3 linked regions of the Arabidopsis thaliana genome follow. The protein of the gene in region 1 interacts with the protein of each later gene in a pairwise test. Each region holds a gene or a part of one and is shown on either strand. Other genes may lie near its edges.

Region 1 (8,398 bases):
TAGCCTAGATTTCCTGCTAATTGGACCACCCCGACTCCCACCACGGGAAGGAGGATATAGCGCACAATTATCACTCCCACAATCACTGATTTCTTCACAGCTGATGAACGCAGACCCTGAATCAGGTTTCCCCCCAGTATGAGTGTGATGCAAGGAATTGTGCCCTCCCTGCCAAGTCAACTATTAGGCGCAAAGTCGTGATGTAATTGTAATTTCCATATTCAAAAAAGATGAGTTCATACCCAAGTAGCTTTACTGAGTCTTGGATCACTCGCAACGGGGCATTCTCCCCAATTATAAGATTCCTTAGCCAATTGGTTGCTCCGAAGACGAAGCCAAGAATCTGAATGGAACATATAACAACGCATCAGAGCAGTGGATTTATTAGTTGTTGGTTGGAAACGTAATCATGTCTTCTTTTTTTAAAAAGACTTACGGCACCAATGGTGGGTGGTGCGAAGAGTTCCTCAAGAATCTGATGGAGCAAGTCCTTGATGTATGTCCTGGTAGACACTTTTTGTTTGCCTTGGATTTCAAGGTCTTGGTTTTGGTGCGGCTTGAGGAGAAGAGCGTGGGGATCAGAGTCGATGTCCTTGTTGGGAGACTTGACCAACCCGGCGGCTTCAAGAGCTCTAAACTGTGTAGCAGAGCTTCTTACCAGTTGGTAACTGTACGTCCATATGTAGAAACCCCCGAGCTGCCCTTGACAAAAATTAATCACACGATCAACTCAACAATTAAGTCTGAGCAGAGATCAGAAGATCATATGTATGTATGTTTGACTTACGGCCATAGAGAAAGATGCGTAGGAGAGCCCAATGGATCTGCAGACACTACGATTCCCAAAAGGACTGCCTTCCTCGTCACAGATGGCAGGGACCAGTATAAGCATAAGGTTCCCCATATTGCCTACGTAGACAGGACAGTAAATATGATTCATGTGAGAATTCAGGGATATATCTCTCCTCCTTGAGATTAAATTTTGAGGTTTTAATGTTACCTGAGGCACAAGTAGCAATTATGAGGCCATGAAGTTGAGGTTTGGGGTTCAGTAGCTTGACCACCAACCATCCAAGAATGCCTCCTACTAGAAAGGTGATTCCAACATTTATGGGCATAAACCACCTACAAAACTAATTTTGGTCAAATCAAAGCCACACGTATGTATTCTCAGAGGGATGATAGGAGACTGGTAGTGCATACCATGAAATAATGTCCTGCAATGTGACAGTCTCGGCAAGGTTGGCAAACATGATGCAGGGGGTGAATACCACGAAGACGAGCTGCGAGGGAAAATGTTTGTTAGTGATGATATATGAATGCATGCATAGTTGACACCAAACAGAAAAAAGAAAAGCAGAGACGGAGGTTGACCTTGTTCACGGATCTTCGGGTGTCAGCAGAGAGAAGAGAGCAGTAATCGGTTGCCAAGAAAGCGCCAAGGACGCTGATAAGAAGAACTTGAACGATTGGCATTGAAGCCACCTCCAACAACTCTAAGAAACCCATCCCTAATCTCTTCTTTTTCTTTTCTTTTCTTTTTTTCTGGTTTCTTGTAGAAGAAGAGAAGCAGTCAAGGTTAAAGATATAGAGATGAAAGGTTTGATATTTGGGCTGTTTGTGTAGATGGAGAGGATTGGTGGGTATATATATTTAGATTAAATACGTATAGGAGTGGGGTACATGAAGTGTAAAAGAGGAGTCTAACTTTTCAACATAGGAAAAGTCATGCAAGAAAGGTGAATAAAAAGGACAAGTTGGCCTCTAGGTACTGTTGGTCTCTCAGGTAGTGCATATGCAAAATCACATAGATATCAAAATTAGAAGATTCAATATTGGGACGAAAGACTTTTGGGATTGTCTCAGGTTAATAATGTTGACAGAATCAAAGTAAGACTCATCGTCATGCTGTAGCTAAATTGCTCCCAGTATCTTTCTTTCCAAATATTTTTATATCTTTATTTCCGCTTTCTTTTTCTCTAGCTAGAGAGATGTATTTAAACTATCCATGGATATTCGAGCACATGAGTCACAACTAACAAACTAACATTTTTCAAAGTGGCCAAACTTGACCTTTTAATCATAATATTATTTGTCTTTATCACCTAACATAAAGTCACGATACAAAACATCTCTTGAATTTGACCCCCAAGCTGATTGCTATGCCAAGTCCACAATGCTCCTCATAGGCTCATACTCTCTACTTTATTACAAATATCAATAAAAAAAATGTCAACTGTGATATGTGTGACTTTCACAAGCCACTCTGCTAAGTTGACTGATCCCAACCCTGCACATATCACATATGCACACATGGAAAACAGTTGCATTGTAATTTGGGGAAAATAATCTCATCCTGCACATCTCCTCTGTTTCCTCTTTACAACTCCACAGTATCTTGTTCGAATTTATTTATCCAATCAAAAAATAAGTGATATGCTAAAAAAAACTTGTGGGATTAAAACCAAGATGAGGAAGAGGAAACCGTCGTTTGCTTGTATGTCTCGGAGAATTACGTGTGCTGATGATTATAATAAATTAAAAGTAAGAGAGTCAAATATTTGTTTAAACAAGAAAACGGTAAGAAGGATGAGACCAGGTTTTGTGGTAGAACAAGTCCGGGAGATAAGATAGTTGCGTGACTAGGAAATGGCGTGTCTACACAAGGGCACCTTTTGATTTCGATCATATAACAAAGAAGTAGATAGGCCTAAAAGAGCCCATGGTATGTATGTATGAGGCAGCTATTGTGAGGCCTATATATGGGCTTAGCTCATTGTCCATTTGTTTCCAAATTATTCATATGATCAACGATAGATGATCAAATGAAGATATATTTCTAATACATTTAGTTTTATCATTGTCAAAATATATATTTCTACAAAGAAACTTTACAACATGATCGGATTACGTGAAACTAAAAAGAGGGAAGAAACTTGATAGAGACAAAGAGGAGCCTTTTGTTATAATCATATTAGTTATCCCAGGCTGAGAAAGTGATGATTCCTCCATGCATTTAAAAAATTGTAGGTACATAAAGAAAAGAAAAAATAAATAAAGGTGGTAGATAGTGGAGCAACGGCCAAGAGTAAGATAACATTCTATATCTCTAAAGTTGCAAGTTGGGTTATATTTAACTAAAAGTGGAAATACTAAAAGGGGAAAGCAATCATAAAAGCATAACCAAATAGTCAAACTGACGAGTGTGTTGGACGATTCTGTTCTTCTACCCCTCTGATCTCTCACAGGGGATCAAATTGTCATTTAGTTTTGATATATAGAGCCACAACAGTGACATTAGTTTGTTGTTGACTACTGTAAGGGTTGGGTTTCGAAAAGAGACATGGAGGAGTGTTATTAGGTTGATTGTTCTCAAGTACCTCCAGTGTCAAACAAACATTGACGATTGATTCTCTTCCCATAATTTATTGTTATGCATTACATATCACAGTAAACGGACTTTCAGTCAACACCGCATTTATTTGCCCTCTTCATTGTTTCACGTACGTAATCAAGGACCAAGGGATTTTCTTCTTTTGGCTACCATGGCCACAAGATGCTTTTGGTGTTGGACCACTTTGCTCTTCTGCTCTCAGCTGCTTACCGGCTTTGCCCGAGCTTCCTCTGCAGGCGGCGCCAAAGAGAAAGGACTCTCCCAAACTCCCACCTGGGCCGTTGCCCTCGTCTGTACCTTCTTCATTCTTGTCTCCGTCCTCCTCGAGAAGGCTCTTCACAGAGTTGCCACGGTTTGCCCTGAATTCCCTTTTTTCTTTCTTCCTTTACTTCCGCCCTCTAAACTTTTATTTTATTTCTCAGTGGTTGTGGGAGAAACATAAGAACTCTCTGCTTGAAGCCTTGGAGAAAATAAAGGCGGGTAAGACCAGAGAATTGTTTTCTCCTACCGTATTTGGTTAAGAAAACTAAGATATATGAAATGGATGCAGAGCTGATGATTCTAGGATTCATTTCCTTGTTGCTCACCTTCGGAGAGCAGTACATTCTCAAGATTTGTATTCCTGAAAAGGCTGCAGCCTCTATGTTACCTTGTCCAGCTCCTTCTACTCATGACCAAGACAAGACCCACCGCAGACGTCTAGCTGCTGCTACGACCTCTTCCCGCTGCGATGAGGTCATCTCTAGCTTCCCTTGTACTAAAAAATTTACGCTCTAGCTCTATCTCTCTAACACTTTTTTGTTGTCCGCAGGGTCATGAACCACTCATACCTGCCACGGGTTTGCACCAGCTACACATTCTATTGTTCTTCATGGCTGCCTTTCATATCCTCTACAGTTTCATCACCATGATGCTTGGCAGACTCAAGGTACGACAAGCCCTGATTTTCTTATCTCAAACTTTCGTAATCCTAGCTATTCATCATTTTCTGTAACTGCAGATCCGTGGCTGGAAAAAGTGGGAGCAGGAGACATGTTCTCATGATTACGAGTTTTCAATCGGTAGGCGAGTTCTTGTTCATTAAATTAAACCTTTGTTTTATAGGTCACTAAAGTGGCTCCTCTCTATGCATAGATCCATCAAGATTCAGACTCACTCATGAGACGTCCTTTGTTAGACAACATTCCAGTTTCTGGACAAAAATCCCCTTCTTCTTTTATGCTGTGAGAAGCATGCATTTACTTCTTCTTGAGCATGCCCTCGTGGCATCAAGTTTGTTGATTAAAAATTGATTTTTGCTCGCTCTCTCAACCATCTGATTTACAGGGGTGCTTCCTACAGCAGTTTTTCCGATCTGTAGGGAGGACTGACTACTTAACTCTGCGCCATGGCTTCATCGCTGTAAGGCAAAACTCAATTCTCTCTTGTATTTGCCTTCCACTAATGGTGTGATGCTTATGGGTGAGTCTCCTTTAGGCCCATTTAGCTCCAGGAAGAAAGTTCGACTTCCAGAAGTATATCAAAAGATCATTGGAAGACGATTTCAAGGTGGTAGTTGGAATAAGGTACGTAGCACAAAACAGTGCTAGAGCTAGTACTGCGTTGAGAGGTGTTTGTTGACATTGCTGATACTGTACTGTGCAGTCCTCTTTTGTGGGCATCATTTGTAATTTTCCTACTTCTGAATGTTAATGGTGAGTCAGCTTTGCATTTGCTTGCTCTTTTACCAAGCCATTGGTTATTGTTCTACTGAATAAATAATCCCATTCCTGTTTAGGCTGGGAAGCATTGTTTTGGGCGTCAATCCTACCTGTACTTGTAAGACAAGTTATACTCTTGAGCGAATCTTATACTGTGTTTGTATGTCTCATTTTTACAACCCCTTGCAGATCATTCTAGCTGTCAGTACGAAGCTTCAAGCGATCCTAACAAGAATGGCTCTGGGAATCACGGAGAGACACGCAGTTGTTCAAGGGATACCTCTCGTGCATGGTTCAGATAAGTACTTTTGGTTTAATCGCCCTCAGTTGCTACTTCATCTTCTTCACTTCGCCTTATTTCAGGTACTTGCATTGTTTTCAGTTCCAAACAAAACTACCATTGCATGTTACATATACTTGTCTTCAACTTTTGTGCCATGCTGTCTAAATGCTCCTTCTTTTTGTATAGAATGCTTTCCAGCTAACATACTTCTTCTGGGTCTGGGTAACAACATCTCTCTATATTCTATGCGCAATACACTAGTTGTTTGCCTTTTGGACCATGTACATATTCTCTTCTATTGATACAAATGACTTGATACATTTCGTTAATTTGGCATGCAGTATTCCTTTGGGCTAAAATCTTGCTTTCACACGGATTTCAAACTAGTCATCGTAAAACTCTCTCTAGGGTAAAATTTATTCTTATTCTTCTCTAGTGAATAAACTAATAGATATATCTCTCTTGGAACGATTAGCTCAACAAGTTTGATAAATTTGCAGCGTTGGAGCTTTGATTTTGTGCAGCTACATCACACTTCCTTTGTATGCACTAGTTACTCAGGTACATTTATCCTAATTTCAGCCTTTACTCTCCAGATATTTGTGTCTACGAAGCTATATAGTAGTAACTAAGCAACAAACTTATGTTGTTGTTGTGGGCAGATGGGTTCAAACATGAAGAAAGCTGTGTTTGATGAGCAAATGGCAAAAGCGTTGAAGAAATGGCACATGACTGTGAAGAAGAAGAAAGGCAAAGCGAGAAAGCCACCAACAGAGACCCTTGGTGTTTCTGACACTGTCAGCACCTCTACCTCATCCTTTCACGCCTCTGGAGCCACTCTACTCCGCTCCAAGACCACTGGTCACTCGACAGCCTCTTATATGAGTAATTTCGAGGACCAAAGCATGTCTGATCTTGAAGCTGAGCCATTATCCCCTGAACCAATAGAGGGGCACACTCTCGTCAGGGTTGGTGATCAGAACACAGAGATAGAATATACTGGAGATATTAGTCCTGGAAACCAATTCTCCTTTGTGAAGAACGTTCCTGCTAATGATATTGACTAATATTCAAAATGAATGCAGAACAAATCCATCATCCGGTCTTTATTTTCTATTACATGTATGCCAACAATTGCTTCGCCAAGTGTTACCAACTAGGTTTTCTGTATAAGGCTGTATTTTAGAGCTCTTACGTATCTAAAGAAAAAGTAAAGCGATACATAACAGGTCGGCCCAGATAAGTATTACATCGTGCAACTGACTATTACTGCCAGAATCTATCAAAAAACAAGACACGGACTTTGATAAAGATTGTATAAAGAAAGGATTAAACCGTAGCTCACGCTGATCTTTTACAATATCTGATATAAACAGACTCACTCAGGTTCTTCCTCGTCATCAGTGTCACCTCCAAACATGGAAGCCATTTTCATCGCTAAATTTGCAGCTATTTCCCTCCTCTGGAAATCAGGCATCAATCGCAAGTTGTCCCGGATGTTTCCTATTTCTGACATCAACTGTTCCACATCTTCAAACTCGTAACATTTTTCATTTTCTGTGCCCAAAGGTTTTTCATCTGTTACTATTGCTCTGTCAGTGTCATTTTGCAGCTCTAACCTTGACCCTGACGGCAGCAGCTCTTCATCAACTTTATTCGGTTTCACCATACTATTTTCTACATGGAGGTTTTCCTGTGAAGTGGATCCGCCAGCATCGGCATGTGAATGCGTTTCACTTGCAGAAACCCATCTTTCTTCAATATTATCCCATGGATCACCTGAGCCTGCTGATAGCACTTCATACTCCAATTCATATTCAGATTCTTCTTCTGACAACTCTGAGAGGAAATATAAGACCCAATCAACATGAATCCAAGTGGAAATGAAATGTCCTCACCAGGATTTCTTATCTGGGTCGAGTTTCGGTCTACCACTTCCTGGTCGAACAGAAACTCTAACCGGGAAAGGACATTTCAGGAACTCATACATATATGGGAGAGGAAAGTGGAAGAAACAATTAACCTTCCCCTTGAGGTAACACAGGTTCATTTATCCTATCACCAGATTTCAGAATCATCCCAGGCCACATATGAGCCGAAAGAGCACCAAATAGACGTTCAACCCCTTGAGAATCCCCATCGACTGATAAACCTACAAGGACCAACCCGTGAGCCTCATTAATGCTAGAGAGACGAATACGCGTATTCTCTGCTCATCCATTTTCACTCACTTTTCATTCACAAGTTCAGTAGAAGCTATACAAGGAGTAACCAGATTACATTGGGCATATTGCAGTCAATATATAATCAGAAGGAAGGAGATAGAACTTACACTTGTCAAAATCAGGATTAGAGGCACAAGCCTCAATGAACTCAATGTTATTCTCAGAGCACCACTCAAGACATGCTCCCCTGATATCTAGTGATGCATCTTCACTTCCCAACAAGCTGCTTCCTTCAGTTTCGGAGATCCCAAAGTCATCAATGTCCGAATACAGATCTCTAGAGGGGTCTGATGCCTTCAAAAGGCGCCGTCTATATTCATCATGAGCAAGGTGATGAGGGACACGATCTACTTTGTTACCAATGCACAACAATATATCAAAACTGTTGATGTCAGTATGAGAAACCCAGTCTTGAAGAGCAACAAGGGTTGACAGCTGCAAAGAATCGGGTAAAAAAGGGTTATGCAGGGATGGTAAGGTGAGAAGAATGAAGCGTGTATCATCATCATCATCATCAATGTCAAACCTCACTCAAGTCGAAGACCATAACTAACGCCACCAGTGGATGTGAGTTAGGGAGATTGGGTAGAGAGTATTCATCGCAAATATGTGATATACATACAGAAACATCCGCAGTGTAATACTTAGTGTTAATCGTCCAGCTGCCCACATTTTACAGAGAGAAAAAAGTGTTCAAACGATGAAACTTGTTAGGGTAAGAAATTCTTCAGTACTAGACGTACCCATGAACTTCTGTTTGAGATGATGACTCCGATGAATCCTCAAATTCCACAGA
Region 2 (8,819 bases), on another chromosome or scaffold:
GTCTCGTACGTAGTCGTCTCCATCGGTTTCATCATCTTCGTTACGGTAGTATTGAGACTGCTCATTGACAAAACAAAATATGGGGTCAAATTTAGGCAAAACATAACTGGAAGAATTAAGTGAGAAAGGGAAACTCGCGGTAAGAGGTTGTTGACTCAAATGGACACAACAAGTCTGCGTTTTTGGCTAGGATGCTTACTTCATGTGCATGTTCTTCACTCTTGAGATGCGTGGAGAAGTTTTCAAAGCCTTGGACAGTAAATCTGCATTGCTCACAAAGCAAGGCAGGTTCACCCATCTCGCCGCACTTGTCCTCCTGAGGTGCCCCTGAATCCATATCATCTGCGTCCGTGGAGATAACTAGGTCAGACACAGCTTAACTATTTCAACACTGTACTGAGTGTGAGAGAGAGAGAGAGAGGACAAGGACCTGCTGCTGGTAAGCTTGCCAGTAAGCTTTCCCAGAGGAAAGACCCTGTAGAAGGGGAGGCGGAGGATGCGGCTTGTTGAGGATCATCTGGAAGAATAGACCGAACAGTGTTGTATCCGATCCTACCTAGCATGTCAAGAGTGGTCAAGTAGATATGCTCGTACGATATGAGCATTAAATTAGCCGGAGGTTGATTATACCAGGTCCACTTAACCACAGCCCACCCAATCCCTGAGAGAGCTGTTTCGGAAACTATAAGACTTAAAAACAAAAACAAAAAGGGCAAATAGAAGCAAAACCCTAATTTTAGAAAATGAAGGATGAGAAGATATAAACCGGTGGGAACGTGATGAAGAGCGATTCCAGAGGAATGGACTTGTCTGAGGAAGTCATGAGGGACGTCTGTTAGTATCCCAACGGCAGTGATGGTGAGAGGACCAGAGTAGCCTAATTTCTCCAAAGCCCGTTTTATACACGGACCGACCCTGCGAACATCAACGTCAGCCGGAACCGGACACCTGTTGATGTCCCACCAGACGCGTGTTACAGCCTTAGACTTTGGCACGACCTCACCCACAGGCCACAGCCTTCGCCTTCCTCATCATTCAAGACTTGGAAAATCTAGAAGATCGGAAAGCCAGAGAGAAAAAAAGAGATGAGAACATTCGATCGAACCTTGTAGGACAAATAATTACCTGTTCAGATGCGTTTTCTACCCCATAGAACTACCTTGTTACCGCTACTTGTGGTGTGGTTTATTTATGGGCCGATTCGCGTTGCCCATTAACTGTATCTTAGCGCACGGGCCCATTAGATTAAAAAGTTTGGTAAGGAACTTTACTTTTGGCCTGTTTATTAAACGACCGCGTTTTCAATTTGGGAAGCAAATTTCTATATCAAAATATGTGAATCAGGATATCGAGTTTGACGACTATTATTCTGACGATGATTTACTAGGAAGTTGACTCCAAAACTCTGATTCAATTTTCAGTTTGTTTAAATTTAAAAGTTAATCAGTTTGAAACAACTATCGTCGTCATCCGAATGAATATATATAGGCCAGTGAGTACAACAAAACAAAAAGCTTTCCTCAAGTAAATAACCAAATATAGTTTTTGCCTTTTTGTCCAGTGAAACAAGGACTTCACAATCCTTGTTCAGCTTTACTCCGTTCTTCAGCCATTCTCTTCTTGATCTCATGTGCTGCATTGAAAATCCCCATTGTTGGTTGGTTACACACAAAGCACTTCTTGTTCTTCGTGTGATGCTGCATCATTACATTAAACAAAACTCGCTAGTTTCACACATTTCTTCACAACTAAAAAAAAAACAGACTCGTAATTGTGATGATCATACCTTTAAAGCACAATGCTCACAGAAGTAATGCTTGCATTTGGTGACAACTGGATCAACAAAAGGCTCCCTGCAAATGAAGCAAGCAAAGGGCAATGCATTTTCGTCTTCGTCGCTATCCTTGTCAGCCTCATCATCTTCATCCTCAACTCCCATAGCTTTATTTCTCTTCCTAACTTTCTCTGCTTCTTCCCACTCTTTCTCTATCTGCCATCCTGGTTTGTAATCCCCACGGTCATGCAAGAACTTACACGAATCTCCATATCCACAGTATCCGGTTTCTTTGTAATCCTTGCAAATGTCTGGCTGGTAATCGAATCTAGCCGACACTCTTATGTGAGCAGAAGCTCTTAATGGCCCGTGTGAGCCTCCAGCTTTCTCGCTCGAGATTGTTTGTTCTCTTCTAAACCCAGCTTTGTGATCTGTATATCCATGAATTCCTTTGTACAGCTTCTCATCAGAAGCCTTTTTCTTATTCCCTTTCAATGCTTCGTCTGCTTTTTTAAGAACTCTCTCACGGATAGCTCGTGCGTCTTGATTGAAGTCGGTCTCAGTTTCAAGGGTTGCTGTTGCTCCACTGTCGTTCTGAACCTGGATTTCCTTGGATGAATCGTAGTGAAAGACGGACCTCTCAGGAGCTCCACTCGTTGTAGTAGAACTCTTAGATGGTCCAGAAGAAAAGTATAACTTGCTATCGGGTTTTGCAACTTTCTTTAGATTTTGTAGAATAGAGCTTTCGCTTTTCGAATCTCCGTCTTCTTCATCAGCGTCAATGGTTCTTTTTCTTATGTTTTTACTTTTCGTTGGCTTCTTGAAGAAAGTGCAAACTGAAACAGAAGAATGATTTGATTAGTGTAAATGAAAATTTCTAGCTAACAACGAAGAACAAGAAAAAATCTCAATGAGACGACAACTAGAATTGAGATAGAAGGAAGTATATGTAACCTTGTTGAGACTGAGTTTCTTGGGCAGCAGGTTGAGGTAGAGGTTCTTCTTGCTGAGAAGGTTTAGGCTCACCAGAATCTGACATAGTTAGATATAAGACTATGTAACAAACACAAATCACCCACTTGTAATTTGCTGCTTAGTGTTTCCCTGCAAAATTCAAGATTAGTATTAAGTCAATTTCCTGAAAACTTGTAAATTTGTTTGCACTGAGTCAAACAACAATTTTATCAAAATTTCTCCAGATTCAGTTACAATAATAGACAATGCAACATAAAAATGATCACCTGAATTCTTCCTAATTCATCTACGCGAGCTCACGAATAAACCCTAGCTAACTATCTATATCGGTGGCAATTTCATTCACAGTAGATAAGGAAGCAGAAATAGAAGCTCCAGACAGATCAATCCGAAACACAGTTCGACAACTCGATGTGTCAACGGAAGCTACAAAATTTGGAATCTAAAAACCCTTTGAATTGATTGAAATTGGAGACAAAAGCTCGAACAACACTAAAGACTAAACAAGAACGAAAAGTAGATCAAAAGTATGGAGATTAAACACAAGGAAGAATATGTTACCTTAAAAAAAAATCTAAAAATCGACGCCGGTGAGCTACACCGTCAAAAAGAACGACGACGCCGTCCGTATTTTCCGACAGAAAATAAATCAGTGTGAAGAGAAAAGAAATAAGGAACATATGGTGGGGCGGTTACTTCATTTTGGGTCATGAATCTAAATGGGCTCAATATTCATAATGGGCCCGGTACTTAAAATTTGGCAACTTGCTTATTCTCGCCGTCTGACTTTGACCAAGTCATTCATCTGAATGAAATTGTTTTATGAAATGATTTTCAATTGAACAGACTTTATAATATTTAATTGCATAATATTCCTCTTTCCCTCCCTTTTTGTCGTATAATAAAATTCTCATATACTACTTTTCCAGGAAACAATATACAGAGAGAGATACAAGTAACCGCCATATGAGTCTCTCTCTCTTTCCAGCGACGACGGGACCAGTTGCTTGAATTGAAGAAAACGCCGTTCACCGACTTCCGTTTATTAGCCGAATCTTACTATCTCGCCGTTACCTACTTCGTTTCAGGTTAGTTTGATGATAGAATTTTGATTCCGATTTCCGTTTTTGTTCTTTTTCGTCTGAATTTATTTTGCTGTTTCTCAGAACCGAAACGCTTAGATATATGTCTTTCGTTTATGGTCAATGGTTTTTTGAAATTTGGATTTCTTATCTTTGATGAACAGTGTTTTTAAGTTGTTCGTGTGGTTTCCATTTATTGAGCAGGAATGGGTAGGAATTACAGGATTTGGTATAATCTAATGTTAGGTGGAAATTGACTGATTCTAGGTTCTCTAATTAACCTTTTCAAGAAAGAAATATTTAAAAACACATACACACAACACAATTGTATTTGTAGTTAGGTGTCTACTTGCTTATTTTTAATTGGTATTGGGGATTATCATTGTACGTAATCATGTAGAAGAATTCGTATGTCTTAAGTTTTGGTTCTTATTATAATGTTAGGACTCGTCACCCTGTAAGCGAAAGATCAGTTGAAATATACAAGGGTTTGGCTGATGGCATTTAGCCATGATAATCGTGTAAGGTTGGTAGTTACAGAAAATCTTGAAAACAGTTCATAGTTGAATGATTTTTTCTACTATCTCATTTTCTTATGATTTTGTTTAGGTTCAAAGATGAAGGCAAACCATTATCCTCTGAATATGGTTATGGAAGAAAAGCTAGACCTTCTTTAGATAGAGTTTTCAAGAATGTAAAATGGGGATTCAAGAAGCCATTGAGTTTCCCTTCACATAAGGATCCTGACCACAAGGAAACATCTAGTGTTACTCGGAAGAACATCATAAACCCGCAGGATTCGTTTCTCCAGAACTGGAACAAAATATTTTTATTTGCTTGTGTGGTTGCTTTGGCGATTGATCCATTGTTTTTCTACATTCCCATTGTCGATAGCGCAAGGCACTGTCTTACTTTGGACTCAAAGTTGGAGATAGCTGCGAGTTTGCTTCGTACGCTCATCGATGCCTTTTACATTATTCACATTGTGTTTCAGTTCAGGACAGCTTACATCGCTCCTTCTTCGCGGGTTTTTGGAAGAGGTGAACTGGTAGATGATGCTAAGGCAATAGCCTTAAAGTATCTCTCTTCTTACTTCATCATTGATCTACTCTCTATCCTTCCTCTCCCACAGGTAAATGACTAGTTTGATTACTTGTTCAAAATGTCAATGATCATTTCTTTTTGAATCCTCTGGCTTCTTAACTTTTGCAGATAGTAGTTTTAGCCGTTATTCCAAGCGTCAACCAGCCAGTCTCTTTGCTAACAAAAGACTACCTTAAATTTTCCATAATTGCTCAATATGTTCCTCGGATTCTCCGTATGTATCCGCTTTACACTGAAGTGACAAGAACATCTGGCATTGTTACTGAAACAGCATGGGCTGGAGCTGCTTGGAACCTCTCTCTCTATATGTTAGCCAGTCATGTGAGTTTCGGATCTTTTGATGACTGAATCTTTATACATGTAAATGCATATTAAAGGTTATATGTTAAACTTACTTATTCAGGTGTTTGGAGCTTTATGGTACTTAATCTCAGTAGAACGAGAAGACAGATGCTGGCAAGAGGCATGCGAGAAGACAAAAGGTTGTAATATGAAATTCCTCTACTGTGAAAACGATCGTAACGTTAGCAACAATTTCCTGACCACTTCTTGCCCATTTCTCGACCCTGGTGATATAACAAACTCAACCATCTTCAACTTTGGCATCTTCACTGATGCTCTTAAGAGTGGCGTTGTTGAATCACATGATTTCTGGAAGAAATTCTTCTACTGCTTCTGGTGGGGTCTTCGAAATCTGAGGTTTGTAAGACACACATAAAACTGTTGACAATAACTAACTAGCTATATTTGGAGATTTTAAGCCGTGAAATGACCTGTTTATATTTGCATCTTAAGCATATATATCTGTCACAATTTAAACAAGTCATCATTCTCACAAGTTGCTTTTGTTGTTGCAGTGCATTGGGACAGAATCTCCAAACTAGCAAATTCGTTGGTGAAATCATATTTGCTATATCAATCTGCATATCTGGACTAGTCTTATTTGCTCTACTTATCGGCAATATGCAGGTATTAGCCTCAAATAATCGCTTCTCATTTTCTGGACTTGTTCCATAATGCTACATATAAGTTACTCAGGACACGCATGTAATTTTTGTTTGCTGTTGCAGAAATATTTGGAGTCAACAACAGTTCGAGAAGAGGAAATGAGGGTGAGAAAGAGAGATGCAGAGCAGTGGATGTCTCATAGAATGTTACCTGAAGACCTGAGGAAACGTATCAGAAGATATGAACAATATAGATGGCAAGAGACAAGAGGAGTTGAAGAAGAAACCCTTCTTCGTAACCTCCCTAAAGACCTCAGAAGAGATATTAAACGCCATCTTTGCCTCGATCTCCTCAAGAAAGTGAGTAACAAGCTTTCTCTCTTTTTCTTCCATAAACTGAACTAAAGAACCCTCAGAATCCAAATTATATGATGTTTATGGTAGGTACCTTTGTTTGAGATAATGGATGAGCAGTTACTTGACGCGGTTTGCGATAGGCTAAGACCTGTGCTCTACACCGAGAACAGTTACGTGATCCGTGAAGGAGATCCTGTTGGGGAAATGTTGTTTGTTATGAGAGGAAGACTGGTAAGTGCCACCACTAATGGAGGAAGAAGTGGGTTCTTCAATGCCGTGAACCTAAAGGCAAGTGATTTCTGCGGAGAAGATCTTCTCCCGTGGGCATTAGATCCTCAATCTTCTTCTCACTTTCCCATCTCGACAAGAACAGTTCAAGCTCTCACTGAAGTCGAAGCCTTTGCTCTCACAGCTGAGGATCTCAAGTCTGTCGCTTCACAATTCAGACGCCTCCATAGCAAGCAACTCCAACATACTTTTCGGTTCGGTCACTCCCATCAGCTTCTTTGGCTCTGTTTTCGGTTTTGGATCTTCTTAACCGGATCTTGATTATATATACAGGTTTTACTCAGTGCAATGGAGAACATGGAGCGTGTCTTTTATACAAGCAGCGTGGAGGAGATACTGTCGGAGGAAGTTAGCCAAGTCACTACGCGATGAAGAAGATCGTCTCCGAGAAGCGCTCGCTAGTCAAGATAAAGAACACAATGCTGCAACCGTGTCGTCGTCCTTGAGCCTTGGAGGCGCTCTTTACGCGTCGCGTTTCGCATCAAACGCGCTTCACAATCTGAGGCACAATATCTCCAACCTTCCTCCTCGCTACACTCTTCCTTTGCTACCTCAAAAACCCACCGAGCCTGACTTCACCGCCAATCATACAACTGACCCTTAGATCTCTCTTGCATGTGTATAGTGTGTGGAATAAAGTGTAAAAACAATGGTTTGAACTTTGAACCAATAAAATGTAAAAAATTGTTTATCAACTAACAGAAATTGAAATAATGGCTGGCTCTTATGCGCCGCTTAACTTTGGCTACTTCAGTTCAGCATCACACATGGAGGTATAGTTAGAGACTCGATCTGATGATCAATGCATTGAGGAAAGTGGGAAAAGCATATTTAGCTTTCAAGCTAATGCATAGCAAAACTGGGGTTGGTTATGAGAGAATGGCTAGTGTTAGAAGGTCTGTCAGGTTTAGGACTTTACTTAAACTTGTTTTGACTCCCGAGTTTAAAGAAACTTTTTTGCGTTTATGTCTTTTCTTGAAGAAGGAAACAATCGAAAGTTTCCTTTTTATTTTGGAAGAACCTAATAATGAAAACCTGAGGGAGAATGCTAATCTCCAACAACATCTCACTCATTCTCTCTTCTTCCTTGAGAAATCAAAGCAAACCAACCAATGTTTCCTTTTGGTTTTGTTCGGTATAATATCAACGTCTCTTTCGTATGTCGGTTTTCAGTGTTTCCTTTTTTTAAGTCCCGCTCCTGTATAAAGCAGACCAACATATTGAGCTTGCGTTTATATATACTACAAGTAACCCTAGAGTACTTTCATCTCTTTTTTATCAACAACCACCTGAGAGAATGCTAATCCCCAAATTCATCTCTTCTTCCGTAAGATTGATCGGAGTGGAAGATAATGTTAAACCTTATCACTCTTCATGATCGTAAGATTAACCTGTTTTCGGAAAAATCTATTAATCCATTTCATTGTTCATTTTTATGGTCAACCAAATTATAATCTAGTTTCATGCTAAAATTTCGTATAGAGATTATCATTTCTAAAGAATGAAAGTTACATAATATTCAACATATGAATAATATATTTACAAAAATTTACGAGTGAAACGATAAATACATTACTTCGGAAAGGAAAAAAGAATTACAGAATGTATGGACAAATTGGCCATTTCGTTTGGTTACTTGTGGAATAGGATAACGGGAGGAGGCAGCTTTACGTGGTCCATCTAGCACCGTCTGATTGCAGTCAGGTTAAGAAAGTGTGCGGCTCCGATTCGTTGGAATACCCATTTTACGTGGGACCCATTTAAGACAAATGGTCCCGCATCTTTGTTTCTTCTTTCCACTTGTGACCCCTGCCATTGCCAACATTACTGGACGACAAAATCGCCTGCTCTCATTTTCTTCATACATAAAAAAAACCTTTATTTATTTTATTATGATAAAATTTGATTTTGCTTACAAAAACGTGTATGTTAAGAGTCCTTAATGTTCATTGTGATTAAAAAAAATTAATGATCAAAGAACGTGTGATTGTTTGAACTAATTATAGCTTGCTTTTATATGGAAACATACAAAAATATCTGGACCAACAAGCTCGTGCTTCAAACAAAATACACATTTTTGAGCCATATAATACCTAATAACGTGATTTCTTAGACTCTTTTAACTGGGCAGTTAAGTTACCATTTCTGCATTTACTTTTTTAAAAAACTGGTTCTGACGCAGAGAGCATGAATTTGTGATAGAAGTAGAAAGGGGCACAAATAGAATAATCCAAAAAGCAGCGAACAACAAGCCTATAAATAAGACAATCACTTAGGCCCATTAACGACTTT
Region 3 (7,670 bases), on another chromosome or scaffold:
TTTACCAAACATTTTGGATGAAAAAACTATCTTTGAAGTTTATACTAACCCTCCGATTCACCTATTTTTCATGTACAGAAAAGAATGCTAATGTACATTCGTAGTCCAAATAACCCCAATTCTATACAGTTCCGAGTAAAATGAATGATGATAAAGGCATTGTTCTTGCTTGTTATCCACTATGTAAATCTCGGATCTGGATTCTTCAAATTGAAAACAAAGAATGGCCTTAGAATTGTTGAATGAAGTTGCTCGTGACAAAAGCTATCTTCCTGCAAAAGTGAGTTGGAAACTGCCAGGCAAAAATGATAAAAGCTGAGAGCAGTGCTGCAAGTAGTAATGTAGATTGACAAACACATGCAATTTACTGAGTCCAAGGATATACCAAAGCAACAAGTGTTCTTTCTATGTCTATAAAAAGGTCAAGTGTGAAAGTTAACCTAACCAAAAGCAAGGTATAGTATAGTACCGTCCACAATCATTAGATGTTCTATCAACAGAGACTAGAATGAAGTGCTTCTAAGGATCTGGATAGAGGAGACTTCTTTCGAGAGGCTTCTGCAGCAGATGATTGGGATCCTTTGTAAATGTCTCCAGCTGAATGGTGCTTAATCACCTACAAAAGGTTGAAAACCCACTTGCTATGTCTGTGTAAGTTTTAGAGGAGTACTGAGACAAGAAAAGCAGCATACTATGATGTAATATCAATACTATGTGGCCTTTGTTTGTTAGTGAGAAACAAGTTTCACCTAACCTAGAGTGGCAAAGAGCTAAAAAGCATGGTTGGGTGATCTAGATAGTTCAATCCAATTCTCACTATATTGCATACAGTTTCAAAAGAAAGGTCCGAAAAGAAGCATCTGGAAACCCAATTGGTAAAACCATAGACAAACCAAGTATAAAAACCTCAACTACAATGAGTACACAAACAACTTAAGAGAAGAATAGGTAGAAATAAAAAGACCTGTGTTGCATTGGGCAAAGTGATATTGCTTAGGCCGCCATCTAACAGAGGAGTGTAGGAGGCAGGTTCGTCAATAGAATCTTCCAAGATTTCGTCAGAACGTGAACGTTGCTTAGCTATAGCAGGAGCCTGTAAGAAGCTATTTCGTAATTCTGGATCACGTGAACGTTGCCTAGCTAAAAGAGGAGGTTCTAAGAAGCTATTCCGTAAATCTGAATCTGATTGACGGGGAAATGGAGAGTCTATAATAGAAGCTCCCAGCCTATAGATCTGAAACCATAACAGAGAGGACGATAGCCTCACAACGAACCCAGCAATTTCCATAGCCAGGGTGAGTTTCACAGAGAAGATGTAAAAGACTTGATACATATCAGATGAAATGTTCCTGCATTAACAATTAAATCTTTTGTCAGTTATAGGCAGCAGATGAATACTGGCTCAACAGAATCTAAACACGACATAGCAAAGATTTGCAAAAAAAAAGGTTTAAAGATCAATCAGTTCAAAAAGATGATGAGCCAATCAAGAGAAATTCAGGACAGTTTACAATATGTGATGCAATGAAAATTAAACAAGACAGAGCAAACTCTTAAACCAAATATTTGATCATGATCACAAGCACGGCTGTTCCAAGGATAGTGACATACCAAATCTCTTTGGAGAAGAGAATGAACCATGAGACATCAAGAAGAATGGCGCAGAAAAGAAGAACCGCATAGGTTCTGCCAAGACTTTGGCTATTACTCTCGATTGCTACTAACCCAAATAACGCAATCGCCAAATTTATCAGCACGACTCCATTGTACAATGCCCCTAGTGAACCGATCAACGCGCACCCTATCTGAAACAAATGATTCATCAATATGAGTTTCTTGCACTTCTAACCACAATTAAAAGAATAACAAACAAATATCGACAGAGAAATCGTAGAACCCTAATCCCAAACAGATACGAACAATTCACGAGAAAAAACGTGAAATCGGAGGAAATGAAACAACTACAAAGCGATTACGGATTTACCTGAGCATAGATAAGAATCAAAACGACAGATTGGAGCCTAACGTAGTCGCGAAGCCAATTATGTATTCGATTTCGTAACGAAACACAAAGCATCGTAAAATCTCAACCTCGCAGCTCTCGTTACTTGTTACTTCAATGGACTTTCATAATACAAAATGGCTCGACGATTCTGATGCTAAATTGCAATTTTCCGGCGAACGAAATCGGTGAATCAAGAGAGAACGACGATTTGAGAATTTTCGTGAGGGAGAAAGTAAAGAGTGTCTTTGGCGGGATCGCGTTGCAGAAGAGGCAACAAAATAAAAAAATGAGGAAACGAAATATTCCGTTCAATCGTGACGAAGTTATTATAAGATTTAAGGAGGTTTCCGTTTCTTGTCCAGAGTGACGGACGCTTAACGGAGTCACGAAATTTTGGGCCGTATTGGAAAATCTTTAAAAGCCTAATCAAGCCCAAAACTTCAGACCGGTTAATATCTGAACATAACCGAAACCGGTTATCTCGGTTAGCGATTTTCGTTTCAAAAACGACGCCGTTAATTCCTTACATGTCGACTACTCATATGTGTCGCCCAGATTTGAAGATCGGAGATATGAATCTCTTCTTTCTCTGGATTTGAAAGTTCGATAAAAATCTACTGATACATCGACTTCTGGAAGCGATCTCGATCTCTCTAGGTTTGTGATTATCTTTGAATTTGCTGATTGTTTCGTTAGGCGTGAGGAATTGTTCGATTGATTTTTTTTCCTTTTGTCTCCGGTAGAATTGTTTCGACGACGAAGATGAAGAAGATTCAAATTGGTGCGGTGGCGCTATTGGTGTTTCTATCTGTGGCCTCTCTCTTTGAAATCGGATTGGCTTCTCCGAACACAGTTCCTGCTTTCCTCTGGTCTCCGCATCTCCAGTTATGCATCTTGTTTTCTCTATAATTCTCAATTTGATTGATGGAAATGTGTAAAAAGCCTGGGACTTGTGATATCTGATGTGAGTTAGCTTAGATTACTGGGTTGATTGGTTTATGTGATTCTGAAAATCAGGTCTGCTAATGGTGAATTGGATGAGGCTGTAAATTATCAGGTCATGTCTGCAAAGGATCTAGTTGGTTCTGTTTTCACTCAAGGAGGTTGGTCAAACTTTCTGGTATGGTTTCTTCTTCATGATCTTATGATTTCAATTCTACAACTCACTGGATGTCAAATGATTTTTCTTATTGTCATTACTGTCTCCTTTGTTTAGTGCTCAGAGAAGAAGCTTGAGCAACCTGTTGATGTTGCACTTGTGTTCATAGGCAGAGAGGTAATTGAATGATGTAGTATTGTTGTTTTAACATTAGCATAAATGACCTTGTGGATCTTTGGTTTCTTGTTGTGATATTGTAAAGAAACTGATGTTTTAATATTGCGGGAAATTAATCGTCTTTGCTCTGTATCTTCTGTGTTATGCTGAGAATTCTAATATTCACGTTCTCTTCCGCCTGCAGTTACTGTCTTCTGATGTTTCTTCAAAAAGGAACTCAGATCCTGCCCTTGTTAACACATTGAATGTAAGTGCAAATTTTCTTTTCTTCAACAAGAAATTTCGAAATTGCATCCGTAACACAGATCTCTGACATAGTTGTTTGATATAAAGTTTACAATACTCTAACATCCAAGTCTTTGTTTCAACAGAATCTATTTACAGCTTCCAACTTCTCATTGGCATTCCCATATATTGCTGCTCCAGAGGAAGAAAGGATGGAGAATTTGTTACTTTCAGGGCTTAAAGAAGCTTGTCCCAACAATGTAGGAGTCAGCAATATCGTGTTCTCAGATTCGTGCTTTGTTGAGGATGGAACAATTCAGAAACTTTCAGACTTGCAGTCTTTCAAAGTAATACTCATTGCTCTTAAGTTTTTATTTTCCCTAATCCCATGCCTTCCCAGTGTTATCACCCCCTTAACTTCACTTTCTAATACTCATTAATAATTGACAGGATCATTTGCTTGCTAGAAGAGAAACAAGGAAAGAAGGAGAAACTGACTTGGTTGTGCTCTGTTCCGAGGGTTCTGAATCGAATAGTCAAGCTGGACAGTCACATTCAGAGCGTAAGTGGAAAGATCATTACAAAATAATACTAACAATTAGATATCATTTGAGAACTAGGAAATTAAGCAATTCTTTGACCTATTCTGCAGGTGAAAGCTTCTTGGAACTTGTTAGTTCTGTAGAACAATCCGGCAGTAAATATACAGCTCTTTATGTTTCTGATCCTTATTGGTACACATCTTACAAAACTCTCCAAAGGTTTCTAGCTGAAACTGCTAAAGGAAACAGTACTCCTGAAATTGCTACTGGCTGTGATGAACTCTGCAAATTTAAGTCATCACTTTTGGAGGGCATACTAGTGGTAATTACTCTTTTTACTCGTGTTTTTTTGGTATTCATCGTTCTCAAGAAAGATTCATAAACATCATAGAATGGACAAGTTTAATGAGCATCTTGGTCATATCTAGCTGGAAGATAATTTAATTCAATGTGTTAAAATTTCGTAAAAGCCTTTGATTATGTCTCGTCCTTTTCTTTTTCTTTTTGCAGGGAATCGTTTTTCTTCTCATCTTGATCAGTGGACTTTGCTGTATGGCGGGTATCGATACACCGACTAGATTCGAGACTCCTCAAGATTCTTAAGCTGTTGACCTTAAGAGCCATCCCCACCTTTTGCTTTGCTTTTGACGAGTCTTTTCTTGTGCATAGTGCGCATTGTGGAAGGTACTTCAATGTCGATTTGTTACATTATTACTTCAAAACAAAATCTGCATATGCCATAAAATCCCCTTGTATCATTTATTCATCTTGTTTGTGAGTCTTTCTTAAACGTCATAAATTAATAATGGAGAACGAGTAAAAAACCAGAGATACATACACTGGAGAACGGATTACATTCTTTTTCAGAATTTTTTTTGTTTCTTTTTCTTAGATTATATTCCGGAGTTATCGTGCTCATAGTATCGTATTCATATCAATTTGGGGATTCGGACATAGATTTTCTGGAAGAAAAAAACTCAGGACAATAATGTCGGTAGAGTCAGAGTGGTAGGACATGTGTGTGTACCATCACTTGTATAGATAGATAGAAAGATAGATATAGATGATAGTTTTGTGAACAATTAAGAAAATAGTAAGAATACATATATAAGTTTTGTCATGCAACATGCAATTCTAATCCAAATTTAATGTTTGCCTCGGCATGTTTAGTCATTATTAAGTAATATCGATTGAGCAATTAGCAGTTTATAATTTATCTAGATAGACCTTTTGTTTTGACTATTTCGTTGATTTGTTCCATGATTCAATACTTAGCAAAACATCTTCATATGTTGGGGTCCTTATGGTCCCTGCATGGACCTATTGACAAAGTCATAAGATCAATCTTTCAGATTCTTTGATTGACCTCTCTCTCTCCATAAAGAAGCGTATAAAGAATCAAAATGACCGAAAACGATGGTTCTATTCATCTTTTCCCCACTATACATACTCCTACATTTATTCTAACATAACACTATTCGTATCCCTGTTTTTTTCAAAGTTTATACTATAACAAATACATGACTGTATTTGTCTAATTACGAAGAAGTTTCAAAAGCATCATTTATGAACAATGTTTATCTTTTTTTTTCTTACACAAACATTTATAAAAAATCATGTCACCATGACATGTAGCTTAGTTTTATACTAGCGATATTTTTGTGTCATCGTCCGAATTAGAATTTGCATATAATGCATATTATCGATAGAATTTATACGACTTTGTTTTCTATACTGCCACATAATTGAAATTTAAAGATTAGAAATATTACGTATAGGTTTTTTATTGAAAAAAATATTTTCAGTTTCGCACAAAAATATATGTAAAAAACAAATAGAGGGAAGCACATGAGACATAGGGGTTTGAGCCAAAAGAGCAGTGAAAATCCCATCGATCTGCCACTCCACCAACTGACATCACATTGTACCCATTTTCTTCTTCTTTTCCTCAACTATCCATTTTTCTTGTTTAGACAGACACCCCCGCAAATATTTATTACCTGAACTATAACAACAACCAAATTTTGAAATATAAAGAACAATGTTGAACTAACAAATTTGCTTCATCTTTTATTTGCTTTAGCTTTCATACGTAAAATCTCTTGTGGCGTTCACTTCAAATTTTATAAAAAAAAAAAAAAAATTATCTTCTGTTTAACAACATATGACATCTTAAATTGATATTTTAATAATAATGAAAAACTATAAAAATGTACGGCCACGCAAAAGTGACCTACTCGAGCAGGTCCTTTTTTGATCTTTTCGATAACTTTGAGATTCCAAGTGCTGATTTCTGTGAATTTTTGTATATATATACACACATATTTTTGTCAAAGAAACAATATATATATATATATATATATATATGTATATAACTGACGGTCTCTATTTACCGATTACTTGTTTATAAATTAACTTATACGGAGTATAAAATATAGATGTTTATTTAATAGTGCCCTTTCGAGTACCTGTCGGGATAACTAGCTAGGGTTACACGTAAATGTTGAGATTCTTTCTTCTTTTAAAAATGTTTACGAGAGTCCCTTTTTCTCTCTTTCTACACACATTTATTTCTCTCGTGAGTTATTTCTTAGTAAGTCCTAAAATTAGAAACTTATAGTTCCTATCAACTTACCAAAACCAGGTCGATTTTGTGCAAGTGCGTCTTGTTTCTCAAACCACGTCCCTCGTCTTAAATTTTTATTGCATATGCTTGTCTTTGCTCAAACAGAATCTATTTACCTAGGTCGTTAACCAAAACCTTTTTGAGCTTGTTAATTAGAAACTTGAAATTTTCAAATATGTTAATATTAAGGTTCTTTGATGATTTATTAATTTAGAGAGCATTTAAATATAGGAGATTTTGTTTAAACGTTTTATCAAATTTCACATTTTTGGTCAAAGGAAAAGAAGGTTAAACACAATTCAAGAAAACAATAAGATGACAATTTTCGTTATAGACAGGAGCAATTTATGTGTCTATGTGAAGATGTATGTGTATATATGTATATGAATGAGTAGATATGTATATGGCCCCATATCTCTTAATGGCATCTGTTAAAGCTGTAAAGGTTTTTGCAGCTTAAGAAAACTAATATTATGAGGATGGAGAAGCATGGAGGAACCTTATCTCTTTCATTAATTCTTTTTATTTTTCGAATATATATAATTCTTTAATATATGACAACTGTTTTATATTTCTTTCAAATTAATTTAGGTTTTTCTTTCCTTATCTTTTTTTATTATATTTTTTTGCTTATCTACCTTCTTGGGGGCATAAAATCTCAAATCTTTCTCTCTTTTCAATTCAATTATTTTATTCCCTCTTATTTCTCTTATCTCTGACCCATCTTCTATATAAACCCAGAGCGGGTAAGTCCTCTAGTATTCATAAGCACCAAAACAAATATGTAGAGATCTCCTCTTCCATTCTCTATTGTTACTTTCGAGAAGAAACATACAAAACACATACATTTTTCTTTTGTTTGTGGTTTTCATATATACAAGTGGGTATAGCTAGTGAAACGCGAATGTGACGAAAGTAGTGTGCAGCCAAGGATGACTTGCCGATTTAAATGATCTTTCTTTATACTCTATTAAGACAATTTAGTTTCAAACTTTT

What was found.
Region 2: the proteins of MLO10 (region 1) and CNGC10 interact in a protein complementation assay, tested with the Arabidopsis thaliana proteins (one large-scale study listed by BioGRID).
Region 3: the proteins of MLO10 (region 1) and AT3G13410 interact in a protein complementation assay, tested with the Arabidopsis thaliana proteins (one large-scale study listed by BioGRID).

The regions. Positions count from the first base shown.
Region 1 is NC_003076.8:26,385,555-26,393,952, reverse strand, and holds MLO10 (Seven transmembrane MLO family protein), read left to right. Parts: upstream 1-3,185; 5' UTR 3,186-3,545; coding exon 3,546-3,746; intron 3,747-3,816; coding exon 3,817-3,874; intron 3,875-3,944; coding exon 3,945-4,129; intron 4,130-4,205; coding exon 4,206-4,322; intron 4,323-4,394; coding exon 4,395-4,455; intron 4,456-4,528; coding exon 4,529-4,617; intron 4,618-4,720; coding exon 4,721-4,795; intron 4,796-4,870; coding exon 4,871-4,959; intron 4,960-5,038; coding exon 5,039-5,088; intron 5,089-5,171; coding exon 5,172-5,212; intron 5,213-5,283; coding exon 5,284-5,457; coding exon of another isoform or gene 5,458-5,563; coding exon 5,564-5,599; intron 5,600-5,718; coding exon 5,719-5,786; intron 5,787-5,877; coding exon 5,878-5,938; intron 5,939-6,039; coding exon 6,040-6,444; 3' UTR 6,445-6,525; downstream 6,526-8,398. Other genes in the region: AT5G65980 (Auxin efflux carrier family protein), read right to left, coding at 1-168, 243-343, 437-697, 788-909, 1,001-1,125, 1,204-1,283, 1,375-1,509; AT5G65960 (GTP binding protein), read right to left, coding at 6,756-7,216, 7,401-7,529, 7,710-8,037, 8,129-8,264, 8,346-8,398.
Region 2 is NC_003070.9:130,726-139,544, reverse strand, and holds CNGC10 (cyclic nucleotide gated channel 10), read left to right. Parts: upstream 1-3,620; 5' UTR 3,621-3,837; intron 3,838-4,222; exon of another isoform or gene 4,223-4,275; 5' UTR 4,276-4,328; coding exon 4,329-4,357; exon of another isoform or gene 4,358-4,426; coding exon of another isoform or gene 4,427-4,440; coding exon 4,441-4,963; intron 4,964-5,043; coding exon 5,044-5,256; intron 5,257-5,338; coding exon 5,339-5,634; intron 5,635-5,792; coding exon 5,793-5,904; intron 5,905-6,005; coding exon 6,006-6,242; intron 6,243-6,326; coding exon 6,327-6,721; intron 6,722-6,800; coding exon 6,801-7,131; 3' UTR 7,132-7,275; downstream 7,276-8,819. Other genes in the region: AT1G01355 (Putative endonuclease or glycosyl hydrolase), read right to left, coding at 1-57, 200-342, 431-682, 767-948, 1,004-1,032; AT1G01350 (Zinc finger (CCCH-type/C3HC4-type RING finger) family protein), read right to left, coding at 1,575-1,697, 1,787-2,610, 2,729-2,813; AT1G01335 (auxin-responsive endogenous peptide protein), read right to left, coding at 8,687-8,809. UniProt on the Arabidopsis thaliana protein: Probable cyclic nucleotide-gated ion channel.
Region 3 is NC_003074.8:4,359,130-4,366,799, reverse strand, and holds AT3G13410 (2-C-methyl-D-erythritol 4-phosphate cytidylyltransferase), read left to right. Parts: upstream 1-2,483; 5' UTR 2,484-2,662; intron 2,663-2,748; 5' UTR 2,749-2,767; coding exon 2,768-2,889; intron 2,890-3,022; coding exon 3,023-3,125; intron 3,126-3,221; coding exon 3,222-3,281; intron 3,282-3,465; coding exon 3,466-3,528; intron 3,529-3,652; coding exon 3,653-3,853; intron 3,854-3,956; coding exon 3,957-4,068; intron 4,069-4,158; coding exon 4,159-4,370; intron 4,371-4,558; coding exon 4,559-4,651; 3' UTR 4,652-5,165; downstream 5,166-7,670. Other genes in the region: AT3G13420 (uncharacterized protein), read right to left, coding at 494-616, 965-1,349, 1,612-1,805, 1,985-2,077.